3 linked regions of the Lonchura striata genome follow. The protein of the gene in region 1 interacts with the protein of each later gene in a pairwise test. Links are inferred from orthologs where the notes say so. Each region holds a gene or a part of one and is shown on either strand. Other genes may lie near its edges. The genes, in order: SNCA, CYCS and CSNK1D.

The links.
Region 2: the proteins of SNCA (region 1) and CYCS interact in binary tests that used the Homo sapiens proteins (3 or more experiments, as listed by UniProt). The link is inferred for Lonchura striata from reciprocal best matches to the Homo sapiens genes SNCA and CYCS.
Region 3: the proteins of SNCA (region 1) and CSNK1D interact in binary tests that used the Homo sapiens proteins (3 or more experiments, as listed by UniProt). The link is inferred for Lonchura striata from reciprocal best matches to the Homo sapiens genes SNCA and CSNK1D.

The regions. Positions count from the first base shown.
Region 1 is NC_134606.1:53,442,078-53,445,825, reverse strand, and holds the start of SNCA (alpha-synuclein), read right to left. Parts: upstream 2,592-3,748; 5' UTR 2,385-2,591; intron 2,344-2,384; exon of another isoform or gene 2,219-2,343; intron 1,928-2,218; exon of another isoform or gene 1,773-1,927; intron 1,343-1,772; exon of another isoform or gene 1,225-1,342; intron 995-1,224; 5' UTR 970-994; coding exon 849-969; intron 1-848. UniProt on the Homo sapiens protein: Neuronal protein that plays several roles in synaptic activity such as regulation of synaptic vesicle trafficking and subsequent neurotransmitter release.
Region 2 is NC_134603.1:124,391,097-124,394,844, reverse strand, and holds the start of CYCS (cytochrome c), read right to left. Parts: upstream 2,248-3,748; 5' UTR 2,113-2,247; intron 1,367-2,112; 5' UTR 1,359-1,366; coding exon 1,190-1,358; intron 1,045-1,189; coding exon 896-1,044; 3' UTR 1-895. UniProt on the Homo sapiens protein: Electron carrier protein. The oxidized form of the cytochrome c heme group can accept an electron from the heme group of the cytochrome c1 subunit of cytochrome reductase.
Region 3 is NC_134621.1:12,203,548-12,207,295, forward strand, and holds the start of CSNK1D (casein kinase I), read right to left. Parts: upstream 2,341-3,748; 5' UTR 2,089-2,340; coding exon 2,013-2,088; intron 1-2,012. UniProt on the Homo sapiens protein: Essential serine/threonine-protein kinase that regulates diverse cellular growth and survival processes including Wnt signaling, DNA repair and circadian rhythms. It can phosphorylate a large number of proteins.

The sequences.
Region 1 (3,748 bases):
GCTATATTTTCCCCCTCCATTCTTTTATAGACTAGCTTTATTTGATGAATAAGAGAAACAGAGCCATAATTTTTTTTTATAAATAACCACTTACTCATATATAGTCTTGACAGATTGTTTTTCTGTTCATTTTTCATGACAGCATTTGCAAGACACTCTTCTAAAGCTCAGTGCTTGCTAAATGAAGATGACTACCCTGAATGAAAGTACCACTCAAGGGTTTGAAAATAATTTTATCCCAGGCTCTATGGAATACTAGTTTGGCCTAGAATAAGACACTAACAACTGCTTTGCTACTTTGGGGTCTACTTGCGCTACCTCATTAACTGTAGAGGCACTTCCTTGAGAAGTCATGGAAAATTTTTGCCATGAATTTGCAATAGCAATTACACAACATGAAATTAATTTCAAAAGATAGCACTTTGCCATACAAAATGTTACTGTCAACATACCAAGCAGTTGGCATGTCTACCACACAAGTCCTGAGCTAACCTCTCAAGTGTCTCCTCCTGAAATCCTGTTCAAGTCCCACATGCTCTGTAGAACATTACAGAGCTACCTTCACCTCCAGCTTTTACATTTTTTTCATATTTATTTTTGCTGTACCAACCACCCCTTCAGCCTTGATCTGGCAGACTTGCATGTAATACCACTCAATGACCTGTACTGTAAGGCACTTGGCTTCAAAGAACCAGAGCTCAAGAAGGCACAAATTTCCTCTTGTTTCTTTTGCAATGGTCTCCTATGAGCAATTAAATATTTTTTTGCAGAAGAAGGGGTCTGATGAGGATCCAGTTGTGAATGTTGGGGTGCACCAATCAGCAGCGTGCTCTCTGCTGCCCACCTACCCACATACAGGACTCCCTCTTTCGTCTTTCCTGCTGCCTCTGCCACACCCTGCTTGGTTTTTTCTGCTGCTGCTACGACTCCCTCCTTTGCCTTGGAAAGCCCTTTCATGAACACATCCATGGCTGAAGACTTTCTTCAAACAGCTCTAGAGAAAAAAAAAAAGAAAAAAAGTACACACTTTCAGTAAGGTTTTTTATCCCAGAAAGGGGAAAAATATTCTAACCAAATGGGATCACAATTACTTTTAAATTACATTATTTATACCACCCAAATTGTATAGCTATATGAAACAGATATCCCATTTCCACAGAATCCTATGGAGAGGTTACCAATAATGGAGTTCTGACTGGAAGATGGTTCCATTGAGATAAGTACCTTCCTTGCCTATGAAGTCATCATTTCTCCCAAAGGACAGTTCTGTTCATGTGCTGAATGCAAGATTTAGTCTTGTGATTTGATGACACTCCACCTCTCATCCAGAGAAAAAAGCCTACTTAAATAAACATCAGCAACTTAAAAACAAACAGACCAAACTGAAAACCAAAACACATAAATCAAAACCTCTCATAAATGACAAATGTTCACTTGTAAGAAAATGGCATTACAACTCAGGACTGGAGAAAATTAAAAATGCTGCATTTCCATTAGTCCAGCATTTTACACACAGTCCACATCAACCTTTTGGAAACTGAGTTTTCCTGAATGGGTTCCTTGCATGCATCACAACTGAGAAAATATTTTACTAAAAAGCAAAAGCAAGAACGCAGGATGTTAAAAGCACTGCACTAAAGCTACCAAGAGAGTCCTATCACAGCAATACAATCCAGTACTACACCGAAACCACTTAAATAGTAATTAAAACCCAGAATCACCGTCCCTCCAACAAATCCATTATCAGTCATCTTTTCTCTTCCTCCACCCACACAGACATGAGTGCTGCCTGTTATCTTCTCTTCTTTGCCAGAGGCTGAGTAGGAGGAATGCATGTCTAGGAAGGCATCTGAGGACGTCGCAGCTTTCCACTAACTCGTGACGACCGTGCGAAGGAAGGCAGCGTTTGTGCTCCAGCCAAGCTGCCCACGGTACCTGCCGCCCTGGGGATGGGGAAGGGGGGTGGGTGCCTTGCACAGAGCGCCGGGGGAGGCAGCACCGGCCCGCGGGACCCTCGGCTCCTCCACCGGCAAGGTGCCAAGGCCCGGCCCCGGGGCAGTGCCGCGACCAGGTGCGGGGGCACCGGGGGACCGCGGGTGTGCATCAAAGAGCATGGGCACCTGCAGAGGGAGGAGGGAGGAAGCAGGGCGTATGTGCGCATATATGTAGCTTATACATACACAAACATATAAATACATGCACGCGGCGAGGCACCTACCGAGGAAAGGAGAGCGGCGCGACCATATGGGCACCCTCGGGCTCCCGCGGACACGCCGTCGGCACACGGCGGACACGGCGCCCGGCTCCTCCTCCCTCCCCCGTGCCCACACGGGAACGTGCAACGGGACAGATCTATCCAGCTGTCTCTGGTATTAGATACACACCTATGGCTCCGTGCAGACGCGCCCCGCCCCGCCCGCACTCACCGCCGGGCTCCTCCGCCACCGGCGAGCGACCCGTTCCGACAGGCGGGGGCGGCGCGGCTGCGGGCGAGCGAGGCGCGGAGCGGCCCCTGCTCAGCACATCCCAAGGCTCGGAGCCCGCCCGCTCTGCTGGCACCACCCCGGCGGCAGCCCCGCAGGCGGCGAGAGGCGAGGGCGGGGGGCGGGAGGATGAGCCGCGGCGGGGAGGAGCAGCGGCTCTTGCTCCCTGTTGAGGATGCGCCCCCGGCCCGGCCCCCTGCGCCCGCCCTGTCACGTCCTGCGCGGCGGTGCGGTGGGAGGCGTGATAAACTGGGAGCACCTGTTTGCTGGCCTTCTGGAGAGAGAAGCAAGGGTTAAAAAGGTGGGTAGGGCGATTTGGTCCCCCTGGGACTCCGCACAGTCACCACTCCCTCCAAGGGCTGGAGAGCCTCATCTTAGAAGTGTAAGGAAGCTGTTGTTGCGGCACAGCCCCGAGTCACTTCACCAAAGCCTTACAAAATCTCCCCCAGCTTCTAATTCTTTTTCATCTACTTCCCAATCTTCAACCTTGTATGACTGCAGTTCAATGTCACTGTTCTCACAACATTCATGCTTCCAGTTCATTTTAAGCACGGGAGGTGGTGGTGCTCTTGCAGGTGTAATTCGAGTTTTAACTCTATTGCACACACAGAAGAGTATTCATCCCAAATGAAGAGAAGTACGGCCAGACTTGCCCAACCCTTACACCGTTGCTTGCATCTTCCTCCACACAATCCATGGCCACTGCCACCCAAATCTTAAACTCAGGCAGAAAAGTCACTTTCTCCCCAGAAAGGGAAACCTATCAAATTTCTCTATTTTGGTCACAGAATTTAAGCATGAAAAGCCAAGACCAGTAGGAGACAAGGCACTAGAACAGATGGACCTTCAGTTTCAGTACATCAATTCAAATCCTGCAAGACTTACAGAAACAGCTTGGGTTTTATTGCACTCCAAAAGGAGAAACAGAACATGGATGATACCAGGTTGTGAGCTGCAAGGAGTATCTTTCATCCATCATCCCGTGCAGACAGCTGATGCATCCCTGGTTCTCATGCTAAACATGTAGTGCAGGGTCTTGTTCTTGTCAGGTTTCTTTGTAAGTAATATTTCTGTATTGTTTGGTACACTTTATTTTGTTTCATTCTACTAGTAGTTTTAATCAACCAAGCATTAGGCAACAGATTTTATTTCTTTGTGTAACAGTGTTCAGACTGGTAATACACAGATGTATACAAATAAATAATTTTCTCATCATTCTGCCATCAAGAAAACCTTCAAAAAAGCCTAGAAATTGAATTACATAA
Region 2 (3,748 bases), on another chromosome or scaffold:
CAGAGGAAGACTGCTTGATTTTGTGTTTTAGTCTACCAGCACAATCATTCCCGTATCCCTTAATCTGAAACTTTCAATAACAATGAATTCTAGGTGAATGTTTCTGCTGAATTAAGAAGATTAAATAACTCTCAGCTTGGCCACTAGCACACGTATTCCCAGAAGAGGATGCTTTCTCTTACACTAAGAATGGCTGTTATCAGAAGATTTACTGAGCAAAGGGCATCAATAACACATCAAAACTGGAAATGTTTCTGAAGGGGAATTATATGGGTGCATGCAGCTGTCAAAGTCTGGATAAATTAGGTAACATGCTTCCCCTAGATAAAAGACAAGTGGCTGGGCACAACTGGCAGTTCACAAATAGTACTTAAATCAGATGAAATGCATTTTTATCACAAGCTTTAGATAGATTAATACATATTGCAACACCTAGCACTGATTAAATTTAGAAAAATATTATACTGGGATTGGGTTTTTTAATAGCCTTTGTTGTTAATGTAACAGAAGATGTATGGCAGAAGATGCCAAAAAGCACCCTGCTTTTTGATCTTCAGGAGTTGAGCTGTCAAAAGTTATTACACTGTTAATGATTACTCATTTGATTATTTACATATTTTTTAAAACAATGAAGAGGCAGGAAATGTTTATTTATTTTCTTTTAATCTTTATGATCAAGGATGACTGTACCCAATTACATAGTCTTTGTTAAGTTAATGGCTGCCAAACAAGTGTGTACTCCAGTGACCCACCGTGAGCAAAGTCATCTGATGGGTGAGACAGATTTTAAGGTTAGACACAGTACATGTAAAAATAGAAAGTTTAAAAACCAATCTCATCACAGACATTTCCATTGCCATCTCCTTTGTGAAATAAATAAGGCAGCAGATAACTTTTACTTTGCAGTGGCAACTTTGAGGTATGCTATTAAGTCTGCTCTCTCGCCCTTCTTCTTAATACCCGCAAAAATCATCTTTGTTCCAGGAATATACTTCTTTGGATTTTCCAAATACTCCATCAGAGTATCCTCACCCCAGGTGATACCTGAAAGAAGGTAAAAAGAGAAGAGTTAATAAATTCAAAATAGTAAACACATATATTCTTGTCCTCTGCTCAATTTTTGGCAAATTTTTAAAATTACCACCAAGAACTGAGTAATTTTGTCCCCTAAGGACAGCTTTAAGTTTACCTTTGTTCTTATTAGCATCCGTGTAAGAGAAACCTTCAGCTTGCCCAGTCTTGCGTCCGAATAGGCCATTCAAGTTGGGCCCAGTCTTATGCTTGCCTCCCTTTTCAACCGTGTGGCACTGGGAGCATTTCTGAACAAAGATCTTCTTGCCCTTCTCAACGTCTCCCATTGTCAGTACTAGACCAAGAACACACACAGAGGTCAGTATTGCAACCTCAAGGTCACCGACTGAGCTGAAACTTTTAAAAAGCATCCCGTAGGTTTACAAAACCAACATAAGCAGCACATGAATCTGGCAATTCTCCAGCACACTGTCTATCCTCAAGCCACAGCTCCTGGGCTTGAAAATCAGTATGAACCCACGAGACGACCTAAAAGGTATCAAGGTGATAAACACACTTGAAGGGCGGGAAAAACCTTCCCTCATACAAACTAATTGCCCCACAGCATTTAAAGGGTACGGCGACAATTTCTGAGGAACAAATTTAACGCAACTTGTACAACAGTAACTGGAATTCCCTAGTCGCGAACGACCACGTGTAAAAGCACAGGACACCTGACAGGCTTTTCCTCTCAGCTGAAAAAGCGCACCAGCCACGCACCCGGGAGGGCGGGAGGGCGCCCGGCTGTCACCACGGCCCGGGATGACCCCAGGGGTCCGGCCGGCAGCCACGCGTCAGCAGCGGGAGCGCCCAAGGGCGCCCGCCCCGCCTGGCCCCGGCTCTGCCCGCGCCCAGCCCGGCCCTGAGCTTTCCTCAGGCCCGCACCCGCGGTGGGCCGCCCGGCCCCACGGTGACCTTCCGCCGCACCCCGCCGCCGCCTCAGGCCGCGGCAGGAGGGAATGGCCTCAGGGCGGCCGAGCGCACGGCCCGCTCGCCCCATGTCCCCGCCAGCCGCCGCCACCCCGCGGGGCCCGGCCGCACCTGCCCGCCCGGCTGGCCCGCTGCGCCCTCAGACACCGTGACCGCGCCGCCGGCACCTCCCGCTCCGTCTGCGCCCAAGGACACGCGGACTCCGCCCTAAGTAACCCGGCACCGCCGCAACCAACCCCGCGGCGCACCGCCCGCCTCTCCGCCGCGACAACCAATCAGGCGCCGGCCGCTGGAGTTCTGATTGGCTGCAATCAGCTGACGTCACGGCGCCGGCGGCTAGTGGGGTAGGTTGAGACCGGCGGGCCCCCGCACTTCCTTCCTTCCTGCCCCTCTTCCCTCCAATCCCGGCCAGTGACGTCAGACGTCATCTGCGGCGGAGGGGGCGCGCAGCAGAGGGGCGCGAGTGCTGTGAGCGCATGCGCACAGCGCCAATGGAAGCAAGGGTCGCGCGGCGCCCTGAGCGCGCGGCCGGGCGGTGGGCGGGGCCCGAGCAGTGACGCAGCCGGAGCCGCGCCCGGGGCCGGCTCGGCCGGGGGCGGTCGGGCCGTGAGGGCGGCCGCAAAAGGCGCCGTGACGGAATTACAGCGTCGGTGCGGGCAGGAAACACCTCCGTCCTCGAGTCCGTTCTATGGAATGAACTCCGCCGTGTCCTTCAGACTATGGCACTGAGTGCCATGTCCACTCTTAAACACCTCCAAGGACAGCGGCTCCACTCCCTCCCTCCGCAGCCCACTCTAATGTCTAACCACCCTTTCTGGGAAGAAATTCTTCCTGATGCCCAGCCTGAACCTCCCCTGGTGCAGTTTATGACTGTATTCTCTCCTCCTGTCACTGGTTGCCTGGGAGAGGCCGACCCTCACCTGGCTACAGCTTCCTTTCAGGGAGTTGTAGAGCGGATAAGGTGTCCCCTGAATTTCCTTTTCTCCAGGCCAAACACCCACAGCTCATTTAGCTGCTCCTCACAGGGCATGTGCTCCAGACCCTTCACCAGCTTGTCCCTGAGTTTCAAAAGCTTTCCCAGAGGAGCCAAGGGAATAGTGGTGCGGAAGCGCTGCCGTAGCCGAAGTGAGGCGAAGTCGCCCCGGAGAGCGCGGCGGGGCGCTGCCGGCACGGCGCGGCCATGGGCTGAGGGCAGCGGCTGACCCTCCGGCCGTGCCGGCTGCGGCCGCGCCGCTCTGACACAGGCGAGAGCCCTGTGGAGGGGACTGCCGCCTGAAGGCATGAAAGCGTCCCAAATGCCAGCCCAGCAGTGTGGGAGTGCTCCAAGAGGACATGTCAATATTCACACATTGTGGCCTTCCAAGCAGAATTTTAATGGTGAATTCCAGACATGCCTGCCATCTCACCCTCCTCGGCAAGGAGGAAGAGCTGTTGGAAAAGCCCAGTGTAGTAATGTCCAGTGTTCAAAAGAGTTGAACTGTTTGCTTTACTATGGACATTAAAACTGTCAGAATTTTTCACTGTCTGACATTGGAAAAACATTTTATTTTCTGTGTGTGCTTTTATGTTGTCCTGGAACTGGTATGGGTGTGCCCCTCGAACTGCCCATGGGGCAGGGCTCATGTGAAGTGTTAACATGAAGCAGAAAGGAATGAGGACTGTAAAAATACATCAGGGGTTTCTCTGATGGCAGAATTTTTGTAGATAATTCACAAGACCATTCAGAAATCATCACTCCCTAGTTTAG
Region 3 (3,748 bases), on another chromosome or scaffold:
TGAAATGTCTTGTAGCTGCATTTGAGACAAAACCTGGGGACTGGAAGCAGGCAAAAATAGTCAAATCTTCATTTTCAAAGCATAAAACTGAGCTGGGAATGTATGCTGAAATAATCTACAAATTCACTGAGGCCTATCAGAAGGCACGTCTACTTAAAGTAAATACTGCCTTCTGAAATAACATTATAAATTATTTTAAGACACTTATGTCTACTGTACAGTCTGAACAGCAGAGCAGTAACTGGATTTTTTTTAAAACTCCACATTTCGTTATCACAAAAGCCAGTTTTCAAACATCTGTTCTACCAGATAATTGTAGGCAAAGCAAATGGGACTCTATAAAACGCTTCAGTTCTTGAAAGACAATAATTTCCCCTGAGAAAATAAAACCATGCCACCAGCTGGATCTTCCATTCACATACTTATATGCTAGCTCCATGCCTGAGCCATGCTTCCACGTAAATGGCATGACATTTGCAGTAAGCCTTGAGAGTAAATCCAGGACAATTGTTTAGAAATAAAAAAATGTAAAACTCACAGGATTTATTGCACAGAATTCAGTATGGCATTAATATATACACTAGCATACAGCAAACTATTACTTTCTGTGCACCTTCACTGGTGTAAGCTGCATTCATAGAGATAAAAGTGACACATAAACGTTTATTTCACTTGCACTTGATATTAATACTGTATTACAATCTGATTTACCTGAGCAGTAGTCAAAAGTTTAAATTATTCAAATTATCTAAGACTTTTCAGATTTTAACTGCTGTCTTAATTGCCCCCAAAATCCAAATGGAAGCTAACAAGAATTTTTGCACAAGCTTTATGACAATCTTCTATAGTCACATCTTCAATCTTCTATACATGCACTGCAGAAAGGAAGAATCACGTTCTCTGACTCTAGACAATCACATACCTTCAGTTAAAATAGCATATTTTTCATCAGGCATATGATATGTCTAATGGATAATGAGTATTTCATGATCTGTAAACAAGCAGCTTTAAGTAAAAAATTATTTTGGAATGGCAGCTGTGCACTGCAACACGTATAGAAAAACAACCCCCACATCTCATACTGCATGCACTGCCAAACGTACCACATAAGCCAGCAAGTGACATTATTTTTATCTTCCACAGTCAATGAACCTTAGCCCCTGCAACTTCCACCTTCCCCCACCCACCCTTCCCTGATTTGCTCTTCTAGGTTAACACAATTTTCAAAAGCAGAATACTCGTATCTACTGGATGAGACATAATGCTCATATTTCTTTGGATTGAACCCACTTCACATGGCTTGAGAGTTTGCCGAATATGTAGAGCATTTTAAAAATACCTGCTTTCAAAATCTGTTGCACCCACTACCTGAGCTTGTCATAAACAATAGCAGCAGTAGGCTATGTTAGAGAACTATAATAAGGGACTGGCAAAGAGAATTCCAATCCTGTACGTTTTACAATTGTAGAGCGATCACGGTTAGGTGATGGTCAGCAACAGGATTTGCCAAACTACGAGGATTATTTGAAGGATTTAAAGGTTTTTTACTGCAACCTAAACACTTGTATTTGTGTGATTTTTTTTAGGCCTCAAAGTAGAATAAACATTCTTCTGACAATTTTTCCTAGTTCACTGCAGCGATATTTAACCCTGGTACGTTTCTTCCCCAAAACGTTTTTCCAAATGCGGTGGGTTGTGGGGTTTTTAGGGTTTATATCATTTTGTTTTTTTCCCTTCCTTTCTTTCAGACGAGGCGATTTTTACCCTTATGCCCATTTTACAGACTCGAACGGTGCCCAAGGTCACTAGACAGCAACGAGAAGAGAAGCAGCCGAGTAAACCAGAATTCCTGATTTCCGCACTATCCAAATTAGGACATGATGTCAACGAAATATTAAATTACTGCTGCTGTGTCCCTAGCCCAGCTACTTGCCCGACCCGGCTAGGCCCTCGATGTTCTCCACACACCCAGAAAACGGCCAACTAAATCCCCTGCGAGCCATCCTCCTTACCCAAGTAGATATCCCCGAAAGAGCCGCTCCCGATCTTCCGGCCCAGCCGGTACCGGTTCCCAACTCTCAGCTCCATGGCGGCAGCTCGGGTCGTTCACGACACCGTTCTGTTGCTCTGCCCGGCCTGCTGGCTCTCGTTCTGATGCCTCACAGTCCTGCGGTTTCGGATGCCATCGCGGCTTTGGTCTCGCCGCTCGATACTAAGGAGACAGGCAAGACGGTCGCCGCAGCTCCCGAGCAAGATGGACACGGATTCCCGATGCGATCGGCCCCTCAGCCCCTGCGGCGCCCCGCCACCATCCCGCGTGACCTCACTTCCCTAGCGACGGGGGCGGGGCGCGCTGCCGCAGGGACGGCGCGCGCCGGGCGGGGCGTGGCTGCCGTCCGGCGCTGGTGCCCCGTCTCACCGCGCCGTCCCTGCCACCTGCCGGGCCGCGAATGAGGTCGGCAGTCTTCTCGGTGTGTGTGGCGTCGTCGTCCCCGCGGTGGAGATGAGCTCCGGCAGCACTGCGTTCCGAGGAGCGCCCCTTTGATCGTGAAGGCGGAAGGGCGAGGAGGGGGAGAGTGGTGCAGGGACAAAGTCTGAGAAGTGACCCCGCAAATTTCAGGGGAAAACCATGTCATTTTTGCTGGGGAGGAGTGTTGGGATCTCCTCTGTCTCTCCGGGTGAGGAAGAATGTCTAATAAGTGTCGTGCTAAGCAGAGCACCGCAGGGCCTGTATGTATAACCATGTAGTGTGTGCACATGTGAAGCTGTGTATTTGTGAAGCCTCATACTGTAAAAGTTGTAAGACATTGATGTCTTAGGTGGCTGACAGCTGAGTCTCTGGAAGTACAGAGTAAGGGATGGAGAGGGAGAGACAAAGACACATCTGAACTGTCAAATTCCCCCAGCAGCTGTAAGTGGGAGCTGTGGTGAGTCCTGGACCCATTAGTCCATGTTGCCCCTCTTCTGCATCCCATCCCTACCACCCTTCTCCTGCTGATGTATTTTTTTCTGCTTTCCTGCACCTCTCCCTCTCCTGTTTTCCAGGCTCTTGTCTTTTTCTCATATTCTATCTCTCTGTTTTCTTTTGCTTTCTGGACTTCTGTCCTCTTCCCTACTTCTCTTGTCTTCATCTTCTATCTCAATCCATTGATATTTTTGTCTTTTTCCATTTATCTGTCTTCCAATTTTTTAGAATTCTACCCATATACCCTCTTGGCCTTTGTGATGTCCCCCCCAACTTTTATTTCCTCTCTCTCTCTCATATTCTAAGTACACTTTTTCTTTCTTGGATGCTCTCATTCCAGGTCCCTGCCCTAATGTTTAATTTCTTCCCTCTCTGTCCCTCAGCCCATTTTTCCCTTGGCTATTCTCTGTTGTCCTTTCCCTTTGCCTTCTTAACTGGCAAAATAAGGCTATTAAATTTGGATTCATATTTGTTCAACAGGCCTTATTTTATAAATTTATCTTTTATAAATCTAATATTTCTTTTCTTTTATAAATCTTTTATAAATATATCCAAGGGATAATAACCCCTTACAACTTTATTTTCTCAAAGGGTATTGCTTTTGCCTTACTGGTCCTGTCAGGGTTTCAATTTGTTTCTTACAGCCTCTGCATTTCTGGGTCACTGGGGCACCTCCTCTCCAGTCCAGACTACCAGATTTACTGCATCCTCAAGTGATACAAATGGCAGATGGATCACATCTGACTTTGAAGATTGTAGTGCAAAAGCAGAAGCTTCCATATA